Linked DNA regions of Oryctolagus cuniculus. The protein of the gene in region 5 purifies or fractionates together with the protein of the main gene of each other region. This does not show direct contact. Links are inferred from orthologs where the notes say so. Each region holds a gene or a part of one and is shown on either strand. Other genes may lie near its edges.

What was found.
Region 1: the proteins of BCL7A (region 5) and SMARCC2 purify together in Homo sapiens (affinity purification with mass spectrometry; 4 studies listed by BioGRID and IntAct, counting the BioPlex papers as one, with this or other methods). This does not show direct contact. The link is inferred for Oryctolagus cuniculus from reciprocal best matches to the Homo sapiens genes BCL7A and SMARCC2.
Region 2: the proteins of BCL7A (region 5) and ARID1B purify together in Homo sapiens (affinity purification with mass spectrometry; 4 studies listed by BioGRID and IntAct, counting the BioPlex papers as one, with this or other methods). This does not show direct contact. The link is inferred for Oryctolagus cuniculus from reciprocal best matches to the Homo sapiens genes BCL7A and ARID1B.
Region 3: the proteins of BCL7A (region 5) and DPF1 purify together in Homo sapiens (affinity purification with mass spectrometry; 3 studies listed by BioGRID and IntAct, counting the BioPlex papers as one, with this or other methods). This does not show direct contact. The link is inferred for Oryctolagus cuniculus from reciprocal best matches to the Homo sapiens genes BCL7A and DPF1.
Region 4: the proteins of BCL7A (region 5) and DPF2 purify together in Homo sapiens (affinity purification with mass spectrometry; 3 studies listed by BioGRID and IntAct, counting the BioPlex papers as one, with this or other methods). This does not show direct contact. The link is inferred for Oryctolagus cuniculus from reciprocal best matches to the Homo sapiens genes BCL7A and DPF2.
Region 6: the proteins of BCL7A (region 5) and SMARCD2 purify together in Homo sapiens (affinity purification with mass spectrometry; 5 studies listed by BioGRID and IntAct, counting the BioPlex papers as one, with this or other methods). This does not show direct contact. The link is inferred for Oryctolagus cuniculus from reciprocal best matches to the Homo sapiens genes BCL7A and SMARCD2.
Region 7: the proteins of BCL7A (region 5) and SMARCC1 purify together in Homo sapiens (affinity purification with mass spectrometry; 4 studies listed by BioGRID and IntAct, counting the BioPlex papers as one, with this or other methods). This does not show direct contact. The link is inferred for Oryctolagus cuniculus from reciprocal best matches to the Homo sapiens genes BCL7A and SMARCC1.

What each region holds. Positions count from the first base shown.
Region 1 is NC_091442.1:58,974,382-58,978,117, forward strand, and holds part of SMARCC2 (SWI/SNF complex subunit SMARCC2), read right to left. Parts: intron 3,569-3,736; coding exon 3,415-3,568; intron 2,759-3,414; coding exon 2,666-2,758; intron 2,435-2,665; coding exon 2,315-2,434; intron 2,226-2,314; coding exon 2,163-2,225; intron 1,797-2,162; coding exon 1,538-1,796; intron 1,319-1,537; coding exon 1,156-1,318; intron 950-1,155; coding exon 880-949; intron 722-879; coding exon 586-721; intron 449-585; coding exon 282-448; intron 1-281. UniProt on the Homo sapiens protein: Involved in transcriptional activation and repression of select genes by chromatin remodeling (alteration of DNA-nucleosome topology).
Region 2 is NC_091436.1:10,839,367-10,843,763, reverse strand, and holds the start of ARID1B (AT-rich interactive domain-containing protein 1B), read left to right. Parts: upstream 1-1,391; 5' UTR 1,392-2,052; coding exon 2,053-3,855; intron 3,856-4,320; exon of another isoform or gene 4,321-4,397. UniProt on the Homo sapiens protein: Involved in transcriptional activation and repression of select genes by chromatin remodeling (alteration of DNA-nucleosome topology).
Region 3 is NC_091449.1:16,356,225-16,359,960, reverse strand, and holds part of DPF1 (zinc finger protein neuro-d4), read right to left. Parts: intron 2,157-3,736; exon of another isoform or gene 1,845-2,156; coding exon of another isoform or gene 1,735-1,844; intron 1,619-1,734; exon of another isoform or gene 1,402-1,618; intron 1,344-1,401; exon of another isoform or gene 562-1,343; coding exon of another isoform or gene 425-561; intron 270-424; coding exon 109-269; intron 1-108. UniProt on the Homo sapiens protein: May have an important role in developing neurons by participating in regulation of cell survival, possibly as a neurospecific transcription factor. Belongs to the neuron-specific chromatin remodeling complex (nBAF complex).
Region 4 is NC_091432.1:6,288,816-6,292,551, reverse strand, and holds part of DPF2 (zinc finger protein ubi-d4), read left to right. Parts: intron 1-408; 5' UTR 409-492; coding exon 493-587; intron 588-986; exon of another isoform or gene 987-1,357; intron 1,358-1,453; coding exon 1,454-1,614; intron 1,615-2,337; coding exon 2,338-2,445; intron 2,446-2,660; coding exon 2,661-2,824; intron 2,825-3,736. UniProt on the Homo sapiens protein: Plays an active role in transcriptional regulation by binding modified histones H3 and H4. Is a negative regulator of myeloid differentiation of hematopoietic progenitor cells. Might also have a role in the development and maturation of lymphoid cells.
Region 5 is NC_091452.1:7,044,022-7,047,757, forward strand, and holds part of BCL7A (B-cell CLL/lymphoma 7 protein family member A), read right to left. Parts: intron 2,734-3,736; coding exon 2,612-2,733; intron 1-2,611.
Region 6 is NC_091448.1:14,876,202-14,880,486, reverse strand, and holds the start of SMARCD2 (SWI/SNF-related matrix-associated actin-dependent regulator of chromatin subfamily D member 2), read right to left. Parts: upstream 2,962-4,285; 5' UTR 2,737-2,961; coding exon 2,518-2,736; intron 2,130-2,517; exon of another isoform or gene 1,704-2,129; intron 1-1,703. UniProt on the Homo sapiens protein: Involved in transcriptional activation and repression of select genes by chromatin remodeling (alteration of DNA-nucleosome topology).
Region 7 is NC_091441.1:101,101,481-101,105,216, forward strand, and holds part of SMARCC1 (SWI/SNF complex subunit SMARCC1), read left to right. Parts: intron 1-3,186; coding exon 3,187-3,306; intron 3,307-3,736. UniProt on the Homo sapiens protein: Involved in transcriptional activation and repression of select genes by chromatin remodeling (alteration of DNA-nucleosome topology).

The DNA.
Region 1 (3,736 bases), on a different chromosome or scaffold from region 5:
AGACATGGGCAGGTGTGAGAGCAAACTCCCTGCGGTCACAACCCACAGAAGTGTTGGCTTGGTATTTTTTTTAAAAAAGAGCAGCAAAAGATAAGACGAAGTCACATGGTTACAGAGCTGGAAACAGGCCCCCAAATTAAAAAAGCTTAGAGATGAGATGACTGACTCTCTTTTAGGATAAAAATAACAAGAAAGCAGGCTAGCAAGGGGTGAGCAAGGAAGGGCTTGTAAGCGAAGGAGATTAGAGGGCATCTTCCTCGGGTCTTCAGGGCCTGCCTCACCTTGGCTTTCACAGCGGCGGCAGCCAGGGCAGCGGCAGCGGCGGTGGAGAGGTTGCCCTCCCCAATGTCCCGCTCCACCTTCGTCTTCCTTTCTCCCTCCGACTCCACCACCTCCTTCAGCACTTCCTCCTGCCCTTCCTTTGGCTCCTTCTCCTTCTCGGGATCAGCTGGGCCGGGGCGAGGGCTGAGTTAGTCTGACAGCTCCACTTGTCTCTGCTGGGCTCTTCCCCAACCCTGGCACTGTCCGGGATGTTCACCCCCTGGGTCACCATCCCTCTTCCCCCACCCCGTCCGGGATGCTCACCCATTGAGTCAGCATCACTCTTCTCCGGTTCCCTCTCGCTGTCGCCTTCTTTCCCTTTCTCCTCATCCTTCTTGGGGGCCTCGCTAGTTTTCTCCTTGGCCTCCTCCTCTCCAGCCCCTCCTCCTTCCCGGGGCTCCTGAGGCACCAGGGAAAGGACAGGGAGCATCAGGTGGGGGAGACTGGGAGCTGCATTCACTCTGGCATGTTCGGAGCCCACCTGGCTCTGGGGACAGCCCTTGTTCACCCACCACCGCCACTCCTGCCCCTCCCGGCCTGAGCTCAGTCCCTCTATACCTTAGGCTCCTTCTTCTCATCTGTGGCCTGGCCCTCCGCCCGGGCTTCGTCAGTCCCGCTCTCCTCTGGGCCCGTGGGGAGAGGAAAGGGAAGAGGAAATGCCTGATAGTCTCTCTCCCCACAGCCCCTCCACCAGCCAAAACCTAGTGACAGGACCAGCCAGAAGCCATGTCCCGCTGTGCTCTGATACCAACATGGGGCAGGGATGGCCCAGGGAGGCCAGAGGGCTGTGGCTTTTGGAGGAAAGGGAGAGATCTGGAAACGTCCCAAGCCTTACCGATCCGCTCAGGCTCCTCAGAGGTGGTTCCTGCGATGCCACTGCTTTCCAGGCCAAAGGCTGGGTCGGCCTTGCCTGTCACTTTGGCTGCTTCCTCCACTTTCCGAACGTGGGCTTCCACCAAGGCTGTGGGCACCTCTTCCTTCATTTTGGAGAACTCCTCTGAAAGACCCAGGGGATGCAGCTGGGAGCAGTGCAGGCGGGCAGCTCTGGCTATCCTGGTAGACACCATCTCAGAGCCCCTCTCAACTAAGACCAGCGCAGCACCTAGACAGGCCCCTGAGCGGCCAGCGGGGCAGCTGGACTTGAGAGCGTTTCCCAGTCTGAGTAACCAGCCCTTCACACGCAAACTAAGAAGGCCGGCACCCCCACCCCGGTTACCTAGGGCAGACTTTGCAGCAGCAGACGCGACGCGGGGATCGACGACAGAGGCCAGGAAGGCAACAGTGCTCATGACAGGGTTGCCCGACTGACTGAAGGGGATGGGCTGGTAGGCCAGGGGGCCCAGGGAGGCCTCCGAGTCCTCCAGGTAGGGGTCTTCAATGGGAAGACGAAGGAAATGCAAGATGCACTCATCCTGTGTCCGGCTTCCCACGTGCTCAGATACTTTGTTCCAGTCATCTTTGTACATTTCCAGTGCCTGGTGGGGTGGTGGAGACATAACTCTTCTTATTTAGCCACCTTCCTTGGAGGTCAACTCCCGCTATGCTACCAGGGGCAGCTGGCTTCAAAGCTCTCTGTGTTCTGCTTTGTGTTTACTCTGCTGGATCCAAGGGGGATCTCCAAGTAGCACTAAGAAAGGATCTGAAGTTAAAGAAACGTCCCAGATCCCTGGCCTGGAGCTGTTCCCTGGGGCAGGTGTGACAGACATCAGGAAGGGGAGAGACCGGGAAGAGATGGTGCTCTGCTCACGCCAGACTCCATGAGCTCTCCCAGCTCCCAAGTGCAGCTGGCACCCTGGTCCCTACTGTTTTTGTAGCAGAACTCTCTTCCTTGCCCCAATTACCTCGAGGAGTAGCAGGGTCTCCTGTTCTGTCCACTCTCGAGTGGCACTGGCTGCGGCTTTGCTCTGCAGAGGATGCAGGCGGGTCAGGAGGCAGGAGCCTGGGAGCTCTTGGGAGAGGTTCTCCAGCCCCGCAGCCAGCCTGCACCGCCTACCTTGGAGGGGACGCTCTTCTTCGTGTACATGTCTGTGCGCAGCCCGAAGTTCTGCATGTCTGTTGGTTTCTCTTTGCCTTTGTCAGGAAAGTTGAGCATTTGTTGGGAAGCAGAGGTCTGCTATTTGTGGAGGGGAAAGAAAGAGGTGAGTACGAGTGACCACTGGGGGTCAGGGGCAGACAGAGAGAGAAAACAGACAGAAGGAGCTTCCTTCCCAGTCCAGGGACGTCCCTGGCGGGACTTCCTCCCCTACTGCTGTAGCTCCTCTGCTCTCATGCCTCTTTTTCCCGGGCAGGGGACCCCCAATAAAGGGGCAAATAAGAAGCTCAGCGGGGTCTGCACCCCACCTACCAGCTCTGGCTTGCCCTTAGCCGTCTCTGGCACCAGGTCATCCAGCTCTTTGCCCTTTCGCCCAGCCTTGGTATCAGCATCAACCTGGCGGCCCTGGGGGACAGAGCTTGGCGTCATGGAAGCTGGGCAGGAAATGACCAGGCCAAGACCAAATGCTGGGTGGCCCGCAAGCTCTGGGGCACTCATGCCACTGTTCCAGTTCCCTTTCTGATTAATTAGACACATGGTTGGCATGGTGTCCATTTGTATGCACATGTACTTTTAAGGTTCTCTTAGGAGCTGGACAATTAGATTCTATTCCTAGATTTGGTACTCTGTGACCTTGGGCAAGCCACATAACCTTTCTTCTCTTAATTTTTATAATAGATGAAATGGAAGTGGAAAAAATGGAGGTGATAATAATTATGAGACAAAAATGAAAAAATGTGGGAAACATGAGGAAGTGTGACAATTTCATGCAAGTCAATTTTACACCATTTTCCTCTGTCTGCTTCAACCCTACACTGGCCTATCTGCTCCCTGAGGACAAGGAGGATCTCACTCCCTCAGGAAGTCCTCGCAGCCTTGAGTACAGAGGCTGAGAGAGGGTGCTAACACACGGGGCTCACGCCTGTGGCCCTTCGCCTCCCATGGAAAAGGAAGAAGCCTCAAAATACTCCTGAACCATTACCCTAAAAACCAGAAAAAGAAAGTCTGAAGAAGCCCAATCTTACCCAAGCCCACCCTGTCCCCACAGCCCCTCGCCCTACCTGCGGGGTCTTGGGCTGCAGAGGCACCAGCCCCGACGGTGTGTCGGCCAAGACATGGAAGTGAGAGGTGGGCGGAGGCCCCATGGGGGTTGGTCGGCTCTCGGCATCCACCTGGTAGTTAATAAGACCCCACTGCTCGAGGAAGGCATGGACCCTGTGAGGAGGGAGGCAGAGTCAGGGTCACATGGAACAGCTGGAAAGGTGCATGAGGAGGACTGTGGTAGAGACAGCGGTGTAAAGCTCCCTCTCCTCCTCCCCTGGTCTCTTCTGTTTATTCCACTCTCTGGAAAATCCCACTGCTTACCCACCACCCAGACCCCAG
Region 2 (4,397 bases), on a different chromosome or scaffold from region 5:
TTTAGGACTAGTTGTGAAAAGCAGCCAGGACGTACGGCTGAACTTGTAGGAACTGACTTTGATCTAGCTTATCAATCTGAATAAAAGCACTGTATGATTATTTGCATATAGTTTGATTATCAATGTCTGAAGCATAAACAAGATTGATTTTAGAATACATGTATATAGATACATAAAACATTTATATTTGCATATGAAAACTTTAAAATGCAACATATGTGGTTAATACGTATAATTAGTATGTATTTGAATATATAGAGAAAAGCCAGGGAAAAAAATGTCAAAAGGCCCACTAAAAGAGATGTAGTGTTCTCTTGGCACAAACTGATGATTTGGCATGACTTCCTCTTACAGTTCTGTTATTGTCTCTTACCCGTTTTCCAGTTGTTTGGACAGAATGGCAATTTGTTGTTTCTTCTCCAAATAACGACCCTTGGGTGTGCGCCTGGCTCCCCGCCCCCACCAGTCACCAGTAGCTCCGTCTGGCTATCTGTCTCTAGTCAGGTAACATGCTTACACTTGGTCAAGCATACATAACTAGTGCATCCGAAACAAGCCGAAATGCTTGCTATGGAAAGCTGAGGAATGAAATGATTTTGGAAAACTATACTCTACCAAAATCGTGTATCTCATTTCTGGGAGTGTGACCCCTGGAGAGCTGGAGAGTACTTCTTAAGAAGTACTGTTACTAAAGATACTCATAATGATACTAGGTGGTAAACTCATAATAAAAACTGTTGCAATACACAACTGTGTACTATTTCTGCTTTTACATTAGATTGGACTGTTTTATAGTTATTGATCTTGTATTTATATTACATTTAACATCTATTGAGTTTTGTTTCATGTTACTTGGAAAGAAACTTTCTCAAGAGGGTTCTCTGTGCCCGTTACCCTCTGAAATAACGCTGGAAGGTGCTACTACATCACCGGAGGGGGGGGGATTCGACTTTGGACAAATAGTGGCATCTGCGTGGGAAAGCTGTGTGCCGCGTGACCCTCGGCTGCGTGTGCCCGAGACAGAGAGGACACAGGGGTGCGAGCTCTCCCCACAGACTCCTTGCACAGGAATCTAGGGTGCCTTAAAAACAGCCACGTAGCCATTATCTCTGGGGCAGGTGCCGGCATCGGTGAGCATCCATTGAGTACCTGCTGTGTACAGGGCTCTGTGCTCTTCGAACGCGGCTAACCCTCCCCGAAAGCCCTTCCTGAATTCTGCAGTTGGAAGAAGTTGTGGGAATCACGCCGATGGCCAGGAATCAAGGCAGGGAGGCCAACGTTCTGGAAAATTACATAACTCCTGTGAGAGCCAGCGCTTTTGCAGATCGCCCAAATATTTTCTTTCCTCCGTGGGCTCCTCGTCACCTCGGAGGCCCACGGACAACTTCGTGCCCCAGCCCTTCTTCCCTCTTTTGTCTGCTCGCCACAGACTCGTTTTTCCACCTTTGGAGCGTTCCTTTTAGACGCGAAAACAAACACGCGAACGCCCGGTTGGCAAGGAGACGGAGGCACGAGGGGAAAGTGCAGCTCCGGCCGCCTCTCGCCGCCGCGCTCCGAGCGGCTGCCCAGCCGGCCTTGGCCCGGGCCTGCGCGCGGCCCCCGGCCCCCGGCCCCCGGCCCCCGAGGCTGCGCCGGCACGGGCGGGCGGCTGCGGCCCGCGCCGAGTCCAGTCCGCGTTTTGCGAGTGCACAGGAGCAATCAGAGAGAAGTGGGATAATAGTTGCTCCAGCTCGCTCGGCTCCTTCTCGTGCCATGCTGGGCCCGATAGGCTCAGCCGGTCGTGTATTTACCCATATCCGGGTTAGAGAGGAAAAGAGAAAAGTTTCGTTTAAACCTGAACTAAAAACTTTCACCGTGAAAGCACACAGCGGGAGCAGGCCCAGACCGTAAGGCGTGCCCCGGGCCCGGCGCTCCGGCGGGGCCTGCGGAGGGGGAGGGGGCCGGCGGCTTCCCGGCGGGCCGCGTGGATGCGCGCAGGAGGGGCCGCGGCCTGAAAAGTGGGGGTATTGTCTCCCCCCGCCGCCCGCCCGGCCTCGCCACGCCGCGGCGATCATGGCCGCGCGGGCAGCAGCGGCGGCGGCGGCGCGGGCGCGGGCGGGCAGCGGCGAGCGGCGGGCGCCCCCCGGGCCGCGGCCGGCGCCCGGGGCCCGGGACCTGGAGGCGGGGGCGCGCGGCGCGGCGGCGGCACCGGCGGCACCGGGACCCATGCTGGGGGGCGGCGGCGGCGGCGGCCTGAATAATGTGCACCACCACCCCCTGCACCCCCGTCACGAGCTGAACATGGCCCATAACGCGAGCGCCGCGGCCCCGGCCGCCGCCGCCAGCACTAGCAGCGCCAAGAGCGGCGGCTCGGAGGCGGCTCTCAAGGAGGCTGGAAGCGCCGCCGCGCTGTCCTCCTCCTCCTCCTCCTCCGCGGCGGCGGCGGCGGCGGCGTCCTCCTCTTCCTCCTCGTCGGGCCCGGGCTCGGCCATGGAGACGGGGCTGCTCCCCAACCACAAACTGAAAGCCGTTGGCGAGGCCCCCGCCGCACCGCCCCACCACCACCACCACCACCATGCCCACCACCACGACCACCATGCCCACCTCCACCACCACCACCACCATCACCACCACCACCACGCACTACAGCAGCAGCTAAACCAGTTCCAGCAGCAGCAGCAACAGCAGCAGCAGCAGCAGCAGCAACAACATCCCATTTCCAACAACAGCCTGGGCGGCGCGGGCGGCGGCGGCGGCGCGCCTCAGCCGGGCCCCGACATGGAGCAGCCGCAACATGGAGGCGCCAAGGACAGTGCCGCGGGCAGCCAGGCCGACCCCCCGGGCCAGCCGCTGCTGAGCAAGCCGGGCGACGAGGACGACGCGCCGCCCAAGATGGGGGAGCCGGCGGGCGGCCGCTACGAGCACCCGGGCCTGGGCGCCCTGGGCGCGCAGCAGTCGCCGGCCGCCGTGCCCGGGGGCGGCGGCCAGGCGGCCGTCTCGGAGTTTAATAATTACTATGGCAGCGCTGCCCCTGCTAGCGGCGGCCCCGGCGGCCGCGCTGGGCCTTGCTTTGATCAACATGGCGGACAACAAAGCCCCGGGATGGGGATGATGCATTCCGCCTCAGCCGCCGCCGGGGCCCCCAGCAGCATGGACCCCCTGCAGAACTCCCACGAAGGGTACCCCAACAGCCAGTACAACCATTATCCGGGCTACAGCCGGCCCGGCGCGGGCGGCGGCGGCGGCGGCGGCGGAGGCGGAGGAGGAGGAGGAGGCAGCGGAGGAGGAGGAGGAGGAGGAGGAGCAGGAGCAGGAGCAGGAGCAGGAGCGGGAGCTGTGGCGGCGGCGGCCGCGGCGGCGGCAGCAGCAGCAGCAGGAGGCGGCGGCGGCGGCGGCGGCAGCTATGGGGGCTCGTCCTCGGGGTACGGGGTGCTGAGCTCCCCCCGGCAGCAGGGCGGCGGCATGATGATGGGCCCCGGGGGCGGCGGGGCCGCGAGCCTCAGCAAGGCGGCCGCCGGCGCGGCGGCGGGGGGCTTCCAGCGCTTCGCCGGGCAGAACCAGCACCCGTCGGGGGCCACCCCGACCCTCAACCAGCTGCTCACCTCGCCCAGCCCCATGATGCGGAGCTACGGCGGCAGCTACCCCGACTACAGCAGCCCCAGCGCGCCGCCGCCGCCGCCGTCGCAGCCCCAGTCCCAGGCGGCGGCGGCGGCGGGGGCGGCGGCGGGCGGCCAGCAGGCGGCCGCGGGCATGGGCTTGGGCAAGGACATGGGCGCCCAGTATGCCGCTGCCAGCCCGGCCTGGGCGGCCGCGCAACAAAGGAGTCACCCGGCGATGAGTCCCGGCACCCCCGGACCGACCATGGGCAGATCCCAGGTAACCCCCGCGCCGGCCGGGCCTGCTTCCGCCCGGCGGCCTCGCCGCGCCGCGAGCCCGAGTTTCTTTCTTTGCCGCGTACTTTTCCCCAGTTTTCTGGTTGGGGGGCGGCGGGGGCGCGGCGCCCAGGGCCATCTTCGCGGGCGGCCGCCTCCCGCCGAGGTCGGGCGCGCGAGCGTCCGCCCGCCGAGTCCGGGCCGCGCCGTGCGGGCCGCGCAGGGCTTCGCCCGCGGCCGCGGGCCGGGCCGGGCGCTCCGGTGCCCGGTGGACCCGCAGCCTCGCCCCGCCGGCTCTCCCGAGGCGCTGGGGTGGTGACGGGATTCCGAGACAGCGCCCGCGGTCGCGGGAGGCTGTGGGGGCCCGGGGCTGGGTGCGGGGGGCTTTTGTGACGGAATCGGCTCTCCGGGCCGCTGAGGTCTGGGGATGGGGGGGGGGTGTTGACCAGATCTGCCCGGGGAGCGCCCACAGTGTGCCCTCGCTGGGAGAAGAATGAGGAACTTTCTCCCACCTTCAGCCTCGTCCTTCCAGGGCGGCAAGGCGGG
Region 3 (3,736 bases), on a different chromosome or scaffold from region 5:
CTGGAGAGACAGCCGTGGGGGAGGACGGAGAGAGGGAGAGGGAGTGAGCGAGCGGCCCCGAATCCAGCGGCCGCCCCGCCCCGCCCCAGCCCGGCCTCCCTCGCGCACCGGGCCCGCGGTGGGTCTTCTCCATCCAGATGTAGCAGTTGTTCTGGGCCACGCCGGTCTGCGAGTCGAGGAAGGGCAGGCGCAGGCTGCGCTCGGCGCACAGGCGCGCGTTGTAGCTGCGGCAGTGCTCGATGGCCTCGCGGTAGAAGTCCTCGCCTAGGCTGCGAGGGCGGCAGCGGGCGGGCGGCTGTCAGCGGGGGCAGCCCTGCCCCGCTCCCCGGCCGCCCCGCTCCCCGGGCCGCCCTGCCCTGCTCCCTGGCCCGCCCTGCCCTGCTTGCTCCCGGGGGGGACGTGGGGCTGCCCCGTCCACTCTCACCTCGCCCCTCCTGGACCCAGGCTGGGGTGGGGGGGCGGGACACGGCGCCAAGGGGCCCCCAGTCTGGGGCTTACGCAGGCCTCCAGCTCAGGAGATGCCCACAATATAAAACGGACAAAAAATACACCAGGACCCATCCATACGTGAACACACAACCAAACGAATCACACACTCACACGGGCTCCACACACAAAGAGACGGATTCAATACTCACAAAGGAGAATCACAAATCTCACACACGTGCACACACAGATATCCCCGGAAAAGCACACATATCCCAAGTGACCTGGTGTGGAAAGAGACAGATCCGTGCACAAGTATGTGTCAGGTATCCGAAGACACACAACACAAACAAGCCACCCACAAAGACTCACAAGGTAGACTAGGCCACATCACACGTGCGCGCGCGCACACACACACAAACTTGTGCACCCAGAGACACACACAGATGCACAAACGTCAAAAGAGAGAGACTGTAAGACAAATGGCTCCCAGGCATTCACCCACAGTATCCAGACACACAAATCACACACACACACACATACCAGACACACAATATACAAAGAAATCACACGGATTCACACAGGTACACACATACACACTCACAAATATGCACGATGTAGAATTTGGTATCTAAAATAGCACATAGCCAAAGACACACACACACACACACACACACATCAAATCCACCAACATCACACAACAATTTACAGAAAAGTGCATGCATGCCTGTCTACAGCTCCCCAAACACAGGACACTAGATCGTGGGTGCCATCCCGGAGGGGTGCACACACGCTCAGAGACCCAAAGATGTCCAACGCGGAATAAAAGAAATCCAACACATATCCAGACAGAGCCACACACACATACAGAGAACTCTCGCTGTCGCTCTCTCTCTCGCTCTCTCACACACACACACACACACACACACACTCCACATCCCAGACAAAGGTGGTGTGGACTTCACTGGAGTTTACCAAGGCCCCTCCGTTCCCCAGGCCCTTTCCCCCTCTCCCAAACCCGGGGGTCGCGAGGCAGGGGCGATGACCCCTTTCCTGGAAAGGACCAGAGTCGGCCCTAGCCCTCCGCCCCTTGCAGAGCAGCGCGCCGGACACCATTCTTGCCGGAGACCCACGGTCACGCACACTCGCACCCCCACGCAGCCCCGCACCCGGTGACAACCCCCCAGACACCCCCTCGGCCCCACCCCCAGCCGCCACACACACACGCACACACAGGCACACACGGGCACACATGCCTGCGCAGACCCGCCCGCGCGCCCGCCCGCGCCTCCCGCCGGCCCGCACCACCTCAGGGGGCCGGGGATGACCGTGGCCATCTTGCTCCCCGGGTCCTGCCCCCAGCAGGTCCCCGCCGGGTCGGTCCTCCCAGCGGTCGGGCGGGCGCTGAGGCCGCCCATCCATTCATTCCCGGGGGGCGGGAGCACGCGGGCCACAGCCAATCACGCCGGCGGGGCGTGCCCGCGCGGCCCATGCTGGGAGTTGTAGTCCCGGGCCCGGGCCCGAGCCCGCGGCGACCGGCGATGCGGAGGCGGGGCCCAAGGAGCGCGCACAGTGTGGCTCGCACGCGCCGTCCTACACACCTCCCCGTCTCACGTGCACAGCCTCACACGGGCACACACAGCCCCGCGCGCACTCCCACGTCAACGCCGAGAATTAGGCACACCTTGGATGCCGGTCCCTGGACCCCGCGGGCTCTGCAGAGCCCGACCCCGCCCCACTCGTGGCCGGCACCCCACCCACCCTGCTTAGTTCTGGCGGGCACCGGTAACCACACCTCTCGCTGGCCGTGCCCTTTGGGTCTTGGGCAAATGACAAGCTTTCTGGACCTCGGTTTTCGCTTCATCCCATTCGATGCCGGATGGGATGGTTGTGAGGGTTGATGTGGGTGTTTTAAAGGGGACGTGACTGCGGAGGGAGTTTGGGAGAGCAGTTAAGACACCTCTTGGGTCGCCAGCACCCACACCCACACCCACACCCATACTGGAGCTGGCTGCACTCTCCGTTAGAGCTTCCTGCCAACGCACACCCTGGGAAGCAGCAGGTGGATGGCTCAAGTATTTGGGTTCCTGCCATGCACGAGGGAGACCTGGATGGAGTTCTGGGCTTATGGCTTTGGCCTGGCCCAGACCCAGCTGGTTCAGGCACCTATGGTGTGAACCAGCAGATAGAAGGTCTCTCTGTCTATTTCTCTCCCTCTCTCTCTCTCTAATAAATTTTATTTTTTAAATAAAAAAAAAATTTTTGAAGAGGTGCCTGGCAGATAATGAGAACTCGATAAACTCATTTTAGGAAGAGGATCTGACCTGCACTAAGAAGTAAAATGGTGGGGCCGGTGTTGTGGCTCAGCGGCTTAAGCCACCACTTGTGACTCCAGCATCTCTTATCTGAAAGTCAGTTGCTCCACTTCCGATCCAGCTCCCTGCCGCTAAGGTGCCTGGGAAGGCAATGGAGGGTGGCCCGGGTGCTTGGGCCCCTGCACCCCTGTGGCAGACCAGGGTGGGGCTCCTGGCTCCTGGCTTTGGCCTGGTCCAGACCTAGCTGTTGTAGCCACTTGGGGAGTGAGCCGGTGGGTGGAAGCTCGCTCTCTCTCTCTCTGCCCCCCATCTCTCTCTCTGTCACTCTCTTTCAAATAAATAAATCCTTTAAAATTATTTATTAAAAGAAGTAAAAGAGTGATCACTGTTAAGAAGAATCATGCATGGGTGCTGATTCAAGACCCGGCTGCTACACTTCCGATCCAGCTCTCTGCTGTGGCCTGGGAAAGCAGAGAAAATGGCCCAAGTCCTTGGGCCCCTGCATCCATGTGGGAGACCCAGAAGATCTCCTGGCTCCTGGCTTCGGATCAGCCCAGCTCTGGCCATTGCAGCCGTTTGGGGAGTGACCCAGTGAATGGAAGACCTCTCTCTCCCTCTCTCTCTCTTTCTCTCTCTCTCTCTCTCTCCCTCTGTCTGTAACTCCGCCTTTCAAATAAATAAATAAATCTTTTTTAAAAATGAATAAATGAGCCGGCACCACGGCTCACTAGGCTAATCCTCTGCCTGCAGTGCCGGCACCCCGGGTTCTAGTCCCTGTCAGGGTGCCGGATTCTGTCCTGGCTGCTCCTCTTCCAGTCCAGCTCTCTGCTGTGGCCCGGGAAGGCAGTGGAGGATGGCCACATGGGAGACCAGGAGGAAGCACCTGTTTTCCTGGCTTTGGATCCACGCAGTGCACTGGCCACAATGTGCCAACCATAGCAGCCACTTGGGGGGTGAACCAACGGAAAAAAGGAAGACCTTTCTCTCTGTCTCTC
Region 4 (3,736 bases), on a different chromosome or scaffold from region 5:
TGGAGGGTGAACCAACGGCAAAGGAAGACCTTTCTCTGTCTCTCTCTCACTGTCCACTCTGCCTGTCAAAAAAAAAAAAGGGGGGGGTATATTAACTAACTAGGGGTTACTAGTTCCCCCTGCATGACCAAATGGCTGGTTGAACCCTGGTTTCATGTACATACTTTTTAGAACCAGGTAACTCTTGGCACTGTGCAGTTTTCCAGTTCTTCAAAACACTGAAAGATTTGTCCTTAATTCAGATTTCAAATTGAATCTCTTTTTGGGTCAAAGCCGATTCCTGTATAATTTGGGTAGGAACAGGACCTCAGACTAAACAGGTTTCATGTCAGTAATGTTACTCAATGAAAGCTTCGAGGGGGGGTGGGTGTTTGGTACAACAGTTGACATGCCGCTTGGGACACACAGGTCCTGTATCCGAGTGCCAGGGCTCCAGTCCAGTTTTGCTCCTGTCCCAGCATTCTCGCTCTCGCACACCCTGGAAGGCAGCAGATGACGGCTCAAGTGCTTGGGTCCCTGCCTCCCACGTGGGAGGCCGCGCCTGAGTTCTGGGCCCCTGTTCTCAGCCTGCCCCAGCCCCAGCTGTGGTGAGCATTCGGGGAATAAACCAGGAGGTGGGAATGTCTAACTTACAATACAGAAGAGGGACAGGCATGGTGGGGCAGCAGGGCCGCTGCTTGCGATGCCGCGTCCCGTTCCGGAGTCCCGGCGCCAAGGCCTGGCCACTCTGCTGCTGACCCGGCTCCGGTGCTGGAGGCCCTGCAGCCATGGGAGACGGGGTGGAGCTCCTGGCTCCAGTCTGGCCCAGCTCTGGTGTTGCAGCCATCTGGGGAGTGAACCAGCGGATGGAAGGTCCAACTCCCCCTTCGCCCCCATGAGCTCTGCCTTTCAAATAAATAAAATACGGATGGAACGGATGGAAGTCCCCCAGTCACCAGCTTGTCTCCTTGGAGACCGGCTGTGTCTTTTCCACCCCTCTTACCCAGGTGACACATCGGCACGTTCTTGCTTTATCGTCCTAGTCTTGGAATTGTCTACTCCAATACATGAAGAGCTTCCTTTCTTCTGTGGCTATACCGTAGAGTGCTAAGTGTAGGACGTCCACCAGGCCGTCCTGAGCGCCTTCCCCATTTGTAAGGAGGGCTGACACCCAGGCCTCAGGCCCGTGAGGGCTCCGAGAACTGGCAGCTGACCTGAAACAGCGAGCACTGCGGTGGGCTCGGCAGAGTCACCGAGTAAGCGCTAGTGTGAGTGAGGCTCAGGTCTGCTCAGACATGATGAAATCACGCGTTCCCGGTGGTGATGTCCATGTGACAGCGCAGGGAGGAGCCTGCTGTCCCACGAGGTAGAGATGGAGGTACATAGAGGGGAAGTGCGAGCCCTCGTCTCCTGGGCCCTGCGGAGAAGCTAGCGTAGCGCCCTGCGGCTCCCCACACCCCGGCTCTCTCGCCAGGCTCGGGGAGCAGTACTACAAGGACGCCATGGAGCAGTGCCACAGTTACAACGCCCGCCTCTGTGCCGAGCGCAGCGTGCGCCTGCCCTTCCTGGACTCGCAGACCGGAGTCGCCCAGAGCAACTGTTACATCTGGATGGAAAAGCGGCACCGGGGTCCAGGTGAGGGTCCAGGCTCGGCAGGAGGAAGACTGGCTCGTGCTGGGCAAGGGTGCAGTTGAGTCTCCCCCGCGGCTGCCTGTGGTCTCCTGTGCTGAGAAACCCGTGGAGGGGGCAGGCCGGGTCGTCCAGCGTCTGCTGCCCTGCTGCAGCCATGGTTGGCTTCTGGAGGGCTGCGTGGTTGCCAAGGCCTGCGCCTGGATCTGTTTTTCTCTTTCACAAAGTAGCCCCCACCTCACTGTCAGTCTTACTCCCTTGCTCTAGAACTTGAGATGGGAGGGGGCCAGCATTAAACCAGGTTAAACCAGCGTACCAGGTTAAACCTCTGTGTGGGACCCCGGCATCCCATATGGGTGCCAGTTCAAGACCCAGCTGGTCCACTTCCAATCCAGCTCTCTGCTAATGGCCTGGGACAGCAGTGGAGGACGGCCCAAGTGCTTGGGCCCTTGCACCCATGTGGGAGACCTGGATGAAGCTCCAGGCTCCTGGCTTCGGCCCAGCCCAGCCCTGGCCATTGCAGTAATTTGGGGAATGAACCTGTGGATGGAAGATGTCTGTCTCTCCTCTCTTTCTGATGTTGCATTTCAAATAAATGAATCTTTTAAAATATTAAATTTAAAACAATAAAATAAAAAAGGGGGGAAGGGAAGCTGCTCATCTGGAAAGAGTTTGGTATTACTTTCTAGAACTAGGTTAGGGCTTGACTTCTTTCTCTTCATACCACAGGACTGGCCTCTGGTCAGCTGTACTCATACCCTGCCCGGCGCTGGCGGAAAAAGCGGCGAGCCCACCCCCCTGAGGATCCACGACTGTCCTTCCCATCCATTAAGCCAGGTGAGGTCGCCTGCCTCTGTGCGGAGGCCTGCCAGTCACCTGATAGGTACCAGACGCAGTGTTAGATCTCGAGTGTAGTAAGACGCGATTCTTCCCTGTGGAGAACGCCAGTGGTGGTGCCTGGGCGGCCGGAGCAGAGGCAGCGGCTGACCTCTGCTGTAGACCCAGGTCTGCTCGCAGCCCCTGAGCTCGCCTTGTCCTGACTGTGCCTGCAGACACGGAGCAGACCCTGAAGAAGGAGGGGCTGATCTCCCAGGACGGCAGCAGTTTGGAGGCTCTGCTGCGCACTGACCCTCTGGAGAAGCGAGGCGCCCCGGATCCCCGCGTCGACGACGACAGTCTGGGCGAGTTCCCCGTGACCAACAGTCGTGCCCGGAAGGTAGGAGGCCTTCGCTGCGGCTAAGGAAACTTCTCCGGGCAGTCCCTCATCGGGCACGCCCACCTAGCAGAGCCGAGCTGACCCCAGTCTCTGTTGGCAGGCGGTCTCTGCACCTCCTTTGCTTTTTTTTTTTAAGATTTATTGATTTATTTGAAAGGCAGAGTTACATCTGTTCTTTCATTCCCCAAATGGCTACAGTTGCCAGCGTGGGCCAGGCTGAAGCCAAGAGCTTCATTCAGGCTCCTACAGGGGCCCAGGATCTTGGAAGCCGAGCAGTGAGGACTCACACTGGCGCCCACGTGGGATGCAGCTGCACCTGCCACGCCCCTTCCCTCTAAGTGCAGACGCTCACCTGAGATTACGTAGGCGAGACAGACATGATCCCTGCCATCAGGGAGGATAAAGATGTCTCTGCAAATCAGAGCCAGGAGTACGGTGGGCAGTGTGCCAGTTGCTGCTTTATGTTCTTTCTTGTTTATGCTTTTTTTTAAATTTATTTTTGAAGATTTACTTTTATTTATTTGACAGAGTTACAGAGAGAGGTAGAGACAGAGAGAGAGGTCTTCCATTCACTCCCCAAATGGCTGCAATGGCTAAAACTGAGCCAATCTGAAGCCAGGAGCCAGGAGCTTCTTCCGGCTCTCCCACACGGGTGCAGGGGCCCAAGGACTTGGCCGTCTTCTACCGCTTTCCCAAGCGCATTAGCAGGGAGCTGAATTAGAAGTGGAGCAGCCCATATCGGATGCCAGTGCTGCAGGCTGGGGCTTTAACCTGCTGCGCCACCGCACCGGCCCCAGTCCATACTTTATGAGGCCCTAGTTCACAGACAGGGATGCTGAGCAGATCAGTTTTAAAACTTGTCACAGAGTGTTTCAAGTAAGCAGCAAAGCTCTCATTTAAACTAGGAAGTGA
Region 5 (3,736 bases):
GGAGAGAAGCCTACGTGAGCTGTTTCTGAGTCCCTGGAGGCAGGGGTTAGGAAGCTAGGGAGAGCTTGCTCTCATTATTTTCATTATTTGAAAGAGTGACAGAGAGAAGGAAAGAGAGATAGAGAGAGATCTTCCATCTGTTGGCTCACTCCCCAAATATCTGCAGCAGCCAGGGCTGAGGCAGATGAAAGCCAGGAGCCAGGAACTCAATCCAGGCCTCCCGTGCGGGGAGCAGGGTGGAACCATCACCGGCTGCCTCCCAGGGCACCCATCAGCAGGAAGCAGGGCTGGGACTCAGCCCCAGGCAGACTGACGTGCGATGTGGGTGCCCCAGGTGCATCCTAACAGCTGAGCCAGACGTCTGCCTTCTTTCCCTACTTTGAAAGGACTACAAGCTCCACAGTGTCCTAGGAGAGTCCCTGTGAGGGGCAGGGCCCTCTGGCCGAGCGCCTGGCCACTACGAAGTGATGGTGAGTGACCTGCGGGCAGGCCCAGAGAGCTGACGGCCCTGAGTCAGGAGGAGAGAGCAGGAGACAGACGTGTGGCCTGAAGTGTTGCTCAGAACGCCAGGCTGTCTGTTCGACTGGACCTCTCCCACCTCCTGCTCACATCCTGAGCTCGGGTGGAGGTGGGGAGCAAGGGGAGAGGCCCGGTTTCAGCTTTGAGGTTTGGGTCGTCCTCAGGGACGCCCTCACACAGCTTTGGGATGCCAATTTGGAACTCTCCAGGCGCTGGCCAGAGATGGAGCTGGCACTGGAACCGGGGTCTGACTCTGGGACGCCTAACCTCATCACCGGCCCTACATCTGCAGCGACTGGCCCGGAGGAGGACGCCCCATGACGCCTCAGAGAGGGGCTTGGCTGCACAATTCCCAGCGACGCCCTGGCGTCCCAGCTCCAGAGGACGCTTGCAAGGCTTTTGTGGATTCAAAGAAATGAAAATGAAGAGGCTGGGGCAGGCGCTGCAATACAGAGGGGTAAGACACAGTCTGCAACACCGGCATCTCACATGGGAGTGCAGGGTCAAGCCCCAGCTGCTCCGCATCCATCCAGCTTCCTGCAAAGGCTTCTGGGAAGGCAGCAAAAAAATGGCCCAAGAACTTGGCTCCCTGCCACTCATGGGGAGACCAGGGAGCTCTGGGCTCACATCCATGGCCTGGCCCAGACCTGGCTGATGCAGGCATTTGAGGAACAAACCAGCTGACAGAAGATCAACCTCTCTGTCTCCATCTCTCTCTGTACTCTTTCAAATAAATCTTTACAAATAAATACTTTTTAAAAATACTTATTTGTATTATATTTATAAATAAATATTTTAAAAAACATGGGCACCAATTCAAGCCCGAGATGCTCTACTTCTGATCCCGCTCTCTGCCATGGCTTGGGAGAGCGGTATGGCCCAAGTCCTTGGGCCCCTCTACCCACGTGGGAGACCCAGAGGAAGCTCCTGGCTCCTGGCTTTGGATAGGCACAGTTCTGGCCATTGTGGCCATCTGGGGGAGTGAATCACTGGATGGAAGATCACTCTCTCTCTGCCTCTGCTTCCCTGTAACTCTTTCTTTCTTTTTTTTTTTTTTTTTTTTTTTTTTGACAGGCAGAGTGGACAGTGAGAGACAGAGAGAAAGGTCTTCCTTTTCCATTGGTTCACTCTCCAATGGCCGCCATGGCCGGCGTGCTGCGGCCAGTGCACCACGCTGATCCAAAGCCAGGAGCCAGGTGCTTCTCCTGGTCTCCCATGGGGTGCAGGGCCCAAGCACTTGGGCCATCCTCCACTGCACTCCCTGGCCACAGCAGAGAGCTGGCCTGGAAGAGGGGCAACCGGGACAGAATCCGGCGCCCCGACCGGGACTAGAACCCAGGGTGCCGGCGCTGCAGGCAGAGGATTAGCCTATTGAGCCGCAGCGCCGGCCTTGTAACTCTACCTTTCAAACAAACAAATAAATCTTGGGGAAAAAAAAATAGCCGGGACATGAACCAGAACCCATATGGGATGCCAGCCCTGCAGGCCACGGCTCAACCTGCTATGCCACAATGTCAGCCCTTAAAATAAATATTTTTTTTTTAAAGTGAAGAAGGTGGCCAGTGCCACGGCTCACTAGGCTAATCCTCTGCCTGCGGCGCTGGCACTCTGGGTTCTAGTCCCGGTTGGGGCACCGGGTTCTGTCCTGGTTGCTCCTCTTCCAGTCCAGCTCTCTGCTCTGGCCCGGGAAGGCAGTGGAGGATGGCCCAATTGCTTGGGCCCTGCATCCGCATGGGAGACCAGGAGGAGGCACCTGGCTCCTGGCTTCGGATCGGCACAGTGCGCTGGCTGTAGTGGCCATTTGGGGGGTGAACCAACAGAAGGAAGACCTTTCTCTCTGTCTCTCTTTCACTAACTCTGCCTGTCAAAAAAATAAATAAATAAATAAAGTGAAGGTGAGGCTGAGATGAAGGGCCCCTCCTCCTCCTCCTCTTCCCCCAGAGGCACCCCGAGGCCATGGCCCTGGCACCCAGGCCAGGACACAGGACCATACTCATGGGTGCTGCTCCAATACAAGAACACCATTCCACCATTCCTGACAACCCAGTGGGCCTGGCCACTAGCGCTGGCCCCGAGGCCTTGATCGAGGTACCTGAGAGATTGCTGATGACTCGGCGGCCAGACCCGAGTCCCCGGAAGGTTGCCGTTCTCCTTTCTCTGAGCTGTTCATGGCGTTTTCCACCGGAGACTGAGAATTCTGCTCGTCAGAAGCATCTGAGGGAAAAGCAGACAACAGAAGCTGTTTTCAGACACGTGATATTTGGAGCCAGATGGGCCCAGGACTAAAAATACCGGGTAGCTCTGTGGCCCGGGATCTTTCAGGACTGCGATAGGGCAGCGGCTTGGGAAGTCTCTTGTTTATCATTTCAGTGACGTTGCTTTAAGCAATCGGGCGGGGCCAGCATTGCGACATAGGGGGTAAAGCCACCGCCTGTGACACAGCATCCCATGTGGGCACCGGTTCATGTTCCGGCTGCTCCACTTCTCATCCATCTCCCTGTTAATGGCCTGGGAGAAGCAGCGGAACATGGTCTGGGGCCCTGCTACCCATGTGGGAGGCCTGGAAGAAGCTCCTGGCTTCAGCCTGGCCCCCAGCCCTCGCCACTGCGGCCATCTGGGGAATGAACCAACAGATGGAAGATCTTTCTCCCTCTGACTCTTTCAAACAAATCAATAAATCTTACCCCCCTTCAAAAAAAAAAAGCAGCCAGGCTACACACCAGCCCCATGGTCTCCCGCCCTCCCCACATCCGTTAGCTGCCCAGTGCTCCAGGAAGAACTAAAGGATGCCACAGCGTGCTGCGTGCAGCTGGTGCCCTCTGGTGGGCCCAATGCACCAGGACAAGCATGGCTGTCAATTCCTCTCGCCAGCAGGGAGAAGGCAGCCAGGGTGACTGGCAGTTCCTTTCGGTCTGCACTTCCCTGTACGGGGGCAGAGGGACTGGACTGCACCTTTATGAATAGCGCTCTTAAACACACGGGGGTTTCTGGCTGTCCCAGCAATGAATAACAGGACACAGAATTAAGGAAAAATAAAGTACAAATCATCCGTTATTCCAGGCCAGCCAGAGACAGCCCCCACCAACACGTCACAGGGCTGACACCCAGATTCCAAGGCCAGCAGCCCAATGCGTCACTGCCTCCTCTCCTCAGACGGGGACCACCTGCGATCTCAGAATTATGAGCCAACAAGATGTCTACACAGCATTCTGCCACC
Region 6 (4,285 bases), on a different chromosome or scaffold from region 5:
GAGCAGAGCGGGGGGCTCTGGGATCGGGAGTCCTGCCGCAGCCTCGCTCCATCAGGAAGGGATTCATTAGAGCTGTTGAAAGCAAGACAACCTACTTCTCCGCTTTAATGAGCCACAGCCAGAGATGGGGGGGGAGGGGGCAGCACTCAATGTGGCCGCAGCTGTAAGCCCAGGCCCCACACATGTCCCAGACTGCAACTTTTTTTTTTCCAGTGCCTGAGACAAGGGAGCAAGCAGCAATTGCAGGGGCGAGCTAGGGCCCTGCGGTCCCCACAAAGCCACTCACTAGGGCGCTCACCAAGCCTGCACCACCACCTAGCCCTCCTGAGCAGGTGCTCCGGAGACAGGAAGTCCCAGGACAAGGACAAGGCGCACAGGCAGGACCTGGAGCAGGTCCCGTGCCGGGCTCAGGGCCCCCGGCTCACCCTGGGCCCCAGGGAAAGGCTGCTTCGCAGCTGGAGTCCCAGTTCAGCCTTGCCAAGCTCCACACCTGGGCTTTGAAGCACCAGTAATTCCAACCCCTTCAAAAAACAACTCAGGAATTCTAAAAAAAGACCTACAACCTACAGCCCAAAACTCTCACCCTCCCTGACTCCTGACATGAAACAGGGTGAGGCAGGCCTGGTGGGGCCCCCTGAACCCCGAAAGTGTGCAGTGACCGCATCACCCGTCCCCCACACCAGCTGTTCCAAGGCCGGCCCCTCTGCTGAGCCGCCAGGTGAGCACGCGGTGCCCCGCCCCTGAGCTGTGGCCCTGCTGCTCAGGGTGTCAGCGGGGCATCCTGAGTTCTCTAGAGCAAAGCCAGCACCCGAGGTTTGGCCTTGAGCTTCTCTGCTGGCGGTGACCACCAGGCCCCCTCTGGAGGGAGGGGGCATCACAGCCCTTCCTTCCACAGGCTCCCTACCTGCCCGGCGTGGGCCTCGACTCCTTGCTCTTAGCTCCCTCTGCGAGTGCTGACAGACAGGAACCCTCAAGTCCCTTCTCCTGAAGTCACACAACGGGACCTGACTCAGCCCGGGGGGCCAGGTTCCCCTTCCCATCTCTCCGGAGGGGAGGAGGACAAAGTGGTGGCCAGGAAAGCCAGCCTCAGTGCCACTCCTAGTGGCCCACAGCCACGCAGCTAGGCCTGGCCACTGCCATCCTCTCAGGGGCATGGGCACTCTTCCCAAGGGCCGCATTGTCTGTTCCAGGTCCCTCCAAGGCCAAAGGCCCAGAGGTTCCCGGGCCAGGTCTCAGCAAACAGGCCCGAGGGCTGGAGTAACTGATGCAGGGACCCCTCAGCCACACCCTGAGTCCAGGAGTCCCCTAGGGAGTAGAGCAAGATAGGAGAGGAGGAGCCCCAGCGGGGCCCCTGGGACCAGGTCTCCCTCTGCACACACCCTCACCCTGTTTTCTTTTACGAAGGAGAGGGAATAAGGGAATACAAAATTCACTGTCCCCAGTAGGCATCGCCCGGGGATGTGAGAGCTCGGGGGTCCTGGAGGACACTCCCTGAGGACCCTCTGGGACCCCTGGCTGGGAGACACAATGAGGGAAGAGACCTTGGGAGACCAGCAAGCGGCAAACGCAGGGTGCATGGGTTAGGATGCGGGGTTGTCAGAACCCGGAGGCCAAGTAAATCGGAGAGGGCAGGGGGAAAAAAAAAGACAGGTATAATTCCTAAGCATTTGGGGCAACCTAAAATAACGGACCGGGAGACCAACCCCGCAGCAGGGCCAGACCGAGTGCTCACACGCCCGCCGTAAGGACCGTCGCGGCTCTGCCTCTCGGTGGCCTTTCGCGCTGCAACGTGAGCCTCTCTCGGACGTCAACCCGCAGGCGTCGGGACAGCGCTGGGAAGCAAACTCCTGCAGCCCCAGCCCGGCTCCTCCACTCAACCTCCCGCCACCAGGACGCCGCCAAGCAGAGAGCCCAGGACACGGTCTGCGCGCGATGGTCTCTCACTGGGCTGGGTCCTCCCTCCAGCCGGCTCGCCACCGCCTCTGGTCTAACCCGGAGTCAAATCCAGTGAAAAGCTCCTGGGTCTGCCCCTGCACACACAGGCTGGACTCCCCCGGCCCCAACCTCAGCCTCCCTGGCGGTGGGAAGCCAGGCCTCCTGCCGCCTCCTTAGCAGCTGGGAGCCATCTCAGACATGCTCCAGCCCTGCCAGTTCCCAACGAGAAAAAACAGGGCAGACTTGGAACAGGACCAAGGCCAACGCAGGGTAACCCCGGTCGCGCGGTGGGAGCCTTGTCCGAAACTTTCCCATCACATCCCGGGAACCCCGGACACGGGCTGCTCGGCCACGGTTCGCCGCCTCCCACAACTCCATCGCTCAGTTACTCGCAGCGCCCGCGCCAAGGAAGCCCTCGGAGCCCCCTCGCACTCCGCCACCGCCATAACCGAGCCGCGGCCAGAGGGCCCCCGCCGGGCCCTCCCCGGCCCCAGCGAGCTCCTGCCGCAGAGTCCTGCGCCCCCGGTCCAGGGGGCTCCCCCAGGGGCCCCACTCGAGGCGCCCTCGCTCCTCTCTCCTCACCTGGTACTGCGCCGCGGGGCCCGCGGGGCCCATGGGGCGGAAGGCGGCGGCCCCAGGGCCCCCCACGCCGCCAGCCGGCCCCGGGCCCCGGAGCGCCGGGCCCGGCAGCATGCCGGGTCCCGCCGGGGGAGGCGGCGCTCCCAGGGCGGCTGCCACGGCGCCGCCGCCGCCAGGGCTCAGCGGGGGCAGCGGGAACCCGCCCGCGCCACGGCCCGACATCGCTCCGTCCCGTCCCGGCCTCCGGGCTCCGCGTCGAGTCCGCTCCGCGCGCTGCGCTCCGCGATCCGGGACTTTCCGATCCTAATTCCGGGTTCCGGGCTTTGTGGATCCGGGATCCGGGATTTCCTAATCCAAGTTCGCGAGTTCCTTTCTGGCCTGGTCTGGGCCAGGGCCGACCCCGATTCCGCTCCTGGCCCGGGAGATTCCGGATCCGGGATAGGCTGCGGGCCCGCCTGCCGCCCCCGGCCTCGGGAGGTTTGGCCACCAGAGTCCGGTTACCCAAAGGCGGCGACTAACTCCCGGCCCCGCCCCACCCAGGCAGCACTCGGCCCCGCCCCTCCCTCGCAGTCCAATGCGAGACTGCCTCCTCAAATCCCGCCCTCGCGAGACGCACCCCTAGCAGGCACCGCCCCTAACCGCCGGCCTAGGGTACCGCCCACAACCCGTGGGCCCGCCCTTCGCGGAGAGGCGGGAGCGGAAGTGCGAACGGAAGTGCCGAGTGAGGCGGGGGGTCAGAAGTCGAAGGTCAGCGAGGTCCTGGGCTCTGCTAGCTCGGGTGTAGCCACTAAAGCGGATTAGTCCGCTACTCCCCCTCAAACTACTTCTGTTGAGTCTTTATACAGTTCAGCGTTGAAGACTCGGCCTGGGGCCGCCCTCTGACCTGGACGGCGCCAGGCCCAGGCCAGCTGTGTGAACCGTTGACTTGGCCTAGCGCCCGGTTCTTATCGCACATTTTTAACATGGCTCTGTCTCATTTTAAAGAAGCCTGGTACTTGACTCCACAGGAAATGGTTCTCGGCGAAGGAAATTTGCCCTGAGAAGCGCCCCCCCACCCCCCAGTTAAACAAGTTCTGTCTCCAGTATTTATAGCACTTTATCTTCAAACGTTCGGTACTACTGACCTGTATCAGAAGGTATTCCAAATAAACGCTTCAGCTGTGCCAGGTTCCTAACCCGCCCCCCACCCTCATGTGGGGTCTCCCCAGGACATAGACCAGTGCTTAGACTTTAATGAGCATACAGCACACCCGGGCTCTCATTATAAATGCAGATTATGGCTCACTGGGGCCGCGGCAGTCCTCCAACCCTCTGTTAGAAATTAGTTCCCACTCGTACCTCTGTAGCATTCCTTAGGTGACAAGCCCTGCTGCTCTGCTTTCCTGCATCTAAGATCCCTCTCCTCTTCCTCCCTAAAAGTTGGCCACCTGTCAGTATGGGGACAGACCCCTGCAACTGTGACAGTTACAGCCATCAAACCATGCCCCTTTCTACCCCAGCAAGGCTTCGTGATAAGGCAGCGAATGTCCCCTCCAACTCTGAAGCTTCCAGACCAGCGGTAGTTCTTGAGGAAGTGGTGGCCATTCCAAAATATCCCTGCCAGCCATACCTCCAAACCAATGACCTCCAGCGTTGCATTTTAAAAATAAGTTAGGTAATTCTAATACCCCTTGATGAGAACTACTGTAGAAAAGAAATAACTATTAAGTGCATTTAAAAACATTGTTAAATATAATCAGGTCGCATTAATCTGTTACTTAAAACTCCCCAG
Region 7 (3,736 bases), on a different chromosome or scaffold from region 5:
GAAGCATGGGAGACTGTTTGCTGACATTACATTTGGGTCTTTCAGCATTACAAAATCCGGGTTCATTTTCCACCTAAGCTGCTGCCTTTGTATTACTGAGTACACTTCATTCACCTCATGTTTGATAAAGATGAGCGCCTTACCTCTGCGCATAGCTCCTGAATAGTTTTCAGTTGATAAAACCCTAACAGTACTGACTTCAGACTGATTTGTTCACCGCCTGAAGGATATCTAAGCTCCCAGATAAGTTTCTTCCCAAAGTTTGACTTATTGTTGAAATAAGATTTGAGGTTTCAGGATGATCACTAAAGTTAGGTCACCTAAGGAAGATGTTTTAATACCTTTTACACAAATTATTTGACAGTTAAAGATAGTTAAATGGTTATTTTTTTAAAAAGATTTATTTATTTATTTGAAAGTCAGAATTACAGAGAGAGGGAGAGACAGTGGGAGATCTGTCCACTGGTTCTCTCCCCAAATGGCCAGGCCCAAGCCAGTAGCTTCATCTGGGTCTCCGATGTGGGTGGCAGGGGCCCAAGGGCTTGGGCCGTCCTCTGCTGATTTTCCTAGGCTATTAGCAATGAGCTGGATCAGAGTGCAGCAGCTGGGACTTGAACTGGCATCCATATGGGATGCTGGTGCCGCAGATGGTGGCTTAACCCTCTGTGCATAGCACCAACTCTGTAAATATTTTTAAGATTTATTTTTTATTTATTTATTTTTATTTTTTTGACAGGCAGAGTGAACAGTGAGAGAGAGAGAGAGAAAGGTCTTCCTTTAGCCGTTGGTTCACCTTCCAATGGCCGCGCTGATCCAAAGCCAGGAGCCAGGTGCTTATCCTGGTCTCCCATGGGGTACAGGGCCCAAGCACCTGGGCCATCCTCCACTGCACTCCCTGGCCACAGCAGAGAGCTGGCCTGGAAGAGGGGCAACCGGGACAGAATCCGGCTCCCAGACCGGGACTAGAACCCGGTGTGCCGGCGCCGCAAGGCAGAGGATTAGCCTAGTGAGCCGCGGCGCCGGCCAAGATTTATTTATTTGAAAGGCAGAGTGACAGGGAGTGATAGATGTCTTGCATCCACTAGTTAGCTCCTCATATGGCTGCAACAGCCAGATTGGGCCAAGCCGAAGCCTGGAGCCTGGAGCTCCATCTGAATCTTCCAATTACCGGGGCCATCTTTTACTGCTTTCCCAGGCACACTGGCAGGGAGCTGGATCGGAAGTGGGGCAGATGGAATGAAATCCTTTGCTCTCTTATAGGGTGTCAGAATTGTAGGTAGCGGCTTGACCTGCTGAGCCACAACACCAATCCTAGTTATTTTCATAAATCATATCTTTTCTTTCCATTTCCTACAATCTTTTTTTTTCTTAATTTTATTATTTTGTACAGCAGGGAGACAGGAAGAGACAGACAGACACAGGTTGTCCATCTGCTGGTTTACTCCCCAGATGACTGCAACATTTGGGACTGGACCAAGGCTGATGGAAGCCAAGAGCTGGGAACTCAATTTTGAGTCTCCCTTATGGGTAACAGACTCAAACACTTGAGCCTTGTGGTAGAATGTGCATTGTGGTGCAGCGAGTTAAGCTGTGGCTTGGGATGCCAGTGTCCCATTCATATATTCATGCCTGGGATCCAGTCTTGCCTTTGCTTCCATTTTAGCATCCTGTTAATGCACCTGGGAGGCCATAGTTTATGGCTCAAGTACCTAGGTCCCTACCACCTGCATAGGATACCTAGATTAGTTCTTGGCTCCCAGCGTCAGCCCAGTCCAGGCTATTGCAGGCTTTTGAGGAGTGAGCCAGCAGGTGGGAGATCTCTCCCTATCTTTCTTTCTGTCACTATGTCTTTATTTTTCTTTGCCCCCCCCCCTTTTTTTTAGATCGTTATTTATTTGAAAGACAGTTATAGAAAGAGAGGTCTTCCATCTGCTAGTTCACTCACCAAATGGCCCCATTGGGTGGAGCTGGAGTTTCATCCGGTTTTCCCACATGGGCGCAGGGTCCCAAGCTCTTGGGCCATCTTCTGCCGTGTTCCCAGCCGCATTAGTGGGGAGCTGGATAGGAAGTGGAGCAGCAGCTGGGACTCAACGCCCATTTGGGATTCCGGGGCCTAACCTGCTAAGCCACCATACTGGCCCCCACATGAACATTTTTTTCCCGTTTTTTTTTTTTTTTTTAATGTTTTATTGAAATATAGTATATATACCATGAGATGCACTTAAGTATAGCTTTTTTTCATTCTGAATGACAATATTGGGAATGAAACATGTATGTTATAAAGGACCTTAGAATATACACAAAGATACATGTTATTTCAAATTTTTATTTTCATTTTTTATTTGAAAGGCAGAGAGAGCTCTCCCATTTGCTTGTTCACTCCCTAAATGCTGACAAGCCAGGAATTGATTTCAAGTAAGCCACATGGGTAGCAGGTACCCAAGTACTTGAGCTATCATCTTCTGCCCCCTAAGATGTGCGTTAGCAGGAAGCCGGATCAGAGGCCCAGTTGAGACTTGACTCCAGGCACTCTGATGTCAGATGTGGGTATCCCAAGGCACAGTGCCCTTCTCTGTCTACTAAAATTTGAGAACAATGGCTTTAGACTGACAGTTGACATCTTATATGCTCTGTTGTATAAAATTTGTCTTCAGTGTTTGATTCATGTCTGGCATATACTGCTATGTGTCACATGTGTGGGTGTGTGGGTGTTTTTTTATTTTTTTTATTTGACAGGTAGAGTTATAGACAGTGAGAGAGAGAGAGAGGCAGAGAGAAAGGTCTTCCTTCTGTTGGTTCAACCCCCAAATGGGCGCTACAGCCGGAGCTACACTGATCCGAAGCCAGGAGCCAGGTGCTTCTTCTTGGTCTCCCATGAGGGGCAGGGGCCCAAGCACTTGGGCCATCCTGCACTGCCCTCCCGGGCCACAGCAGAGAGCTGGACTAGAAGAGTATCAGCCGGCACTAGAACCCGGTGCCTTTATGGGATGCTGGTGCCACAGGCGGAGGATTAACCGAGCGAGCCTGTGTGGTATTTTTTTAAATAAAAATTTATTTATCTGAAAGGCAGAGGTACTAGATGCCATTCTACTAGAATGGCAGTGCTTAGTAGATACTAGGAAGTAAGCCAGCAGTCTCTCCTGCAACAGTTGTACCACTTTTTAAGTCTGTCTCTTTATTTTGCAGTATGTTCATGCGGATGCTCCTACCAATAAAACACTGGCTGGGCTGGTGGTACAGCTTCTCCAGTTCCAGGAAGATGCCTTTGGGAAGCATGTCACCAACCCGGCCTTCACCAAACTTCCTGTAAGTACATCAATTTATAATAGTACTGGGGCATTTTCAGTTTCTGTGTGCCAGCCTATTGCTATTTTCCTTTGCTATGACTAGTGTATAAATTTTAAAAAAGGGAACCTCAACAGAATTTTAGCTGAGGCTTTTTTGCTGTTTAAAAAAATATATTTTTTAAAAAATTTGAGAGACAGAAACAGACACATGTGACTCCCATCTGCTGAAACTCAGAACTGGGAATTCAGTTCAGGTCTTCTGTGATCTTCGTTTTTTTTTTTTTTTTTTTTTTTTTTTTTTTTTTTCAGATCTCTGGAGCTGGGCCAGGCAAAAGCCAGGACCCTGAAATTCAATCCCATCTCCCACATGGGTGCAGGGGCCCAGGTGTTTGGGCCATCTTCTGCTCTTTAAGACCGTTAGCAGGGAGCAGATCGGAAGTGGAGCAGCC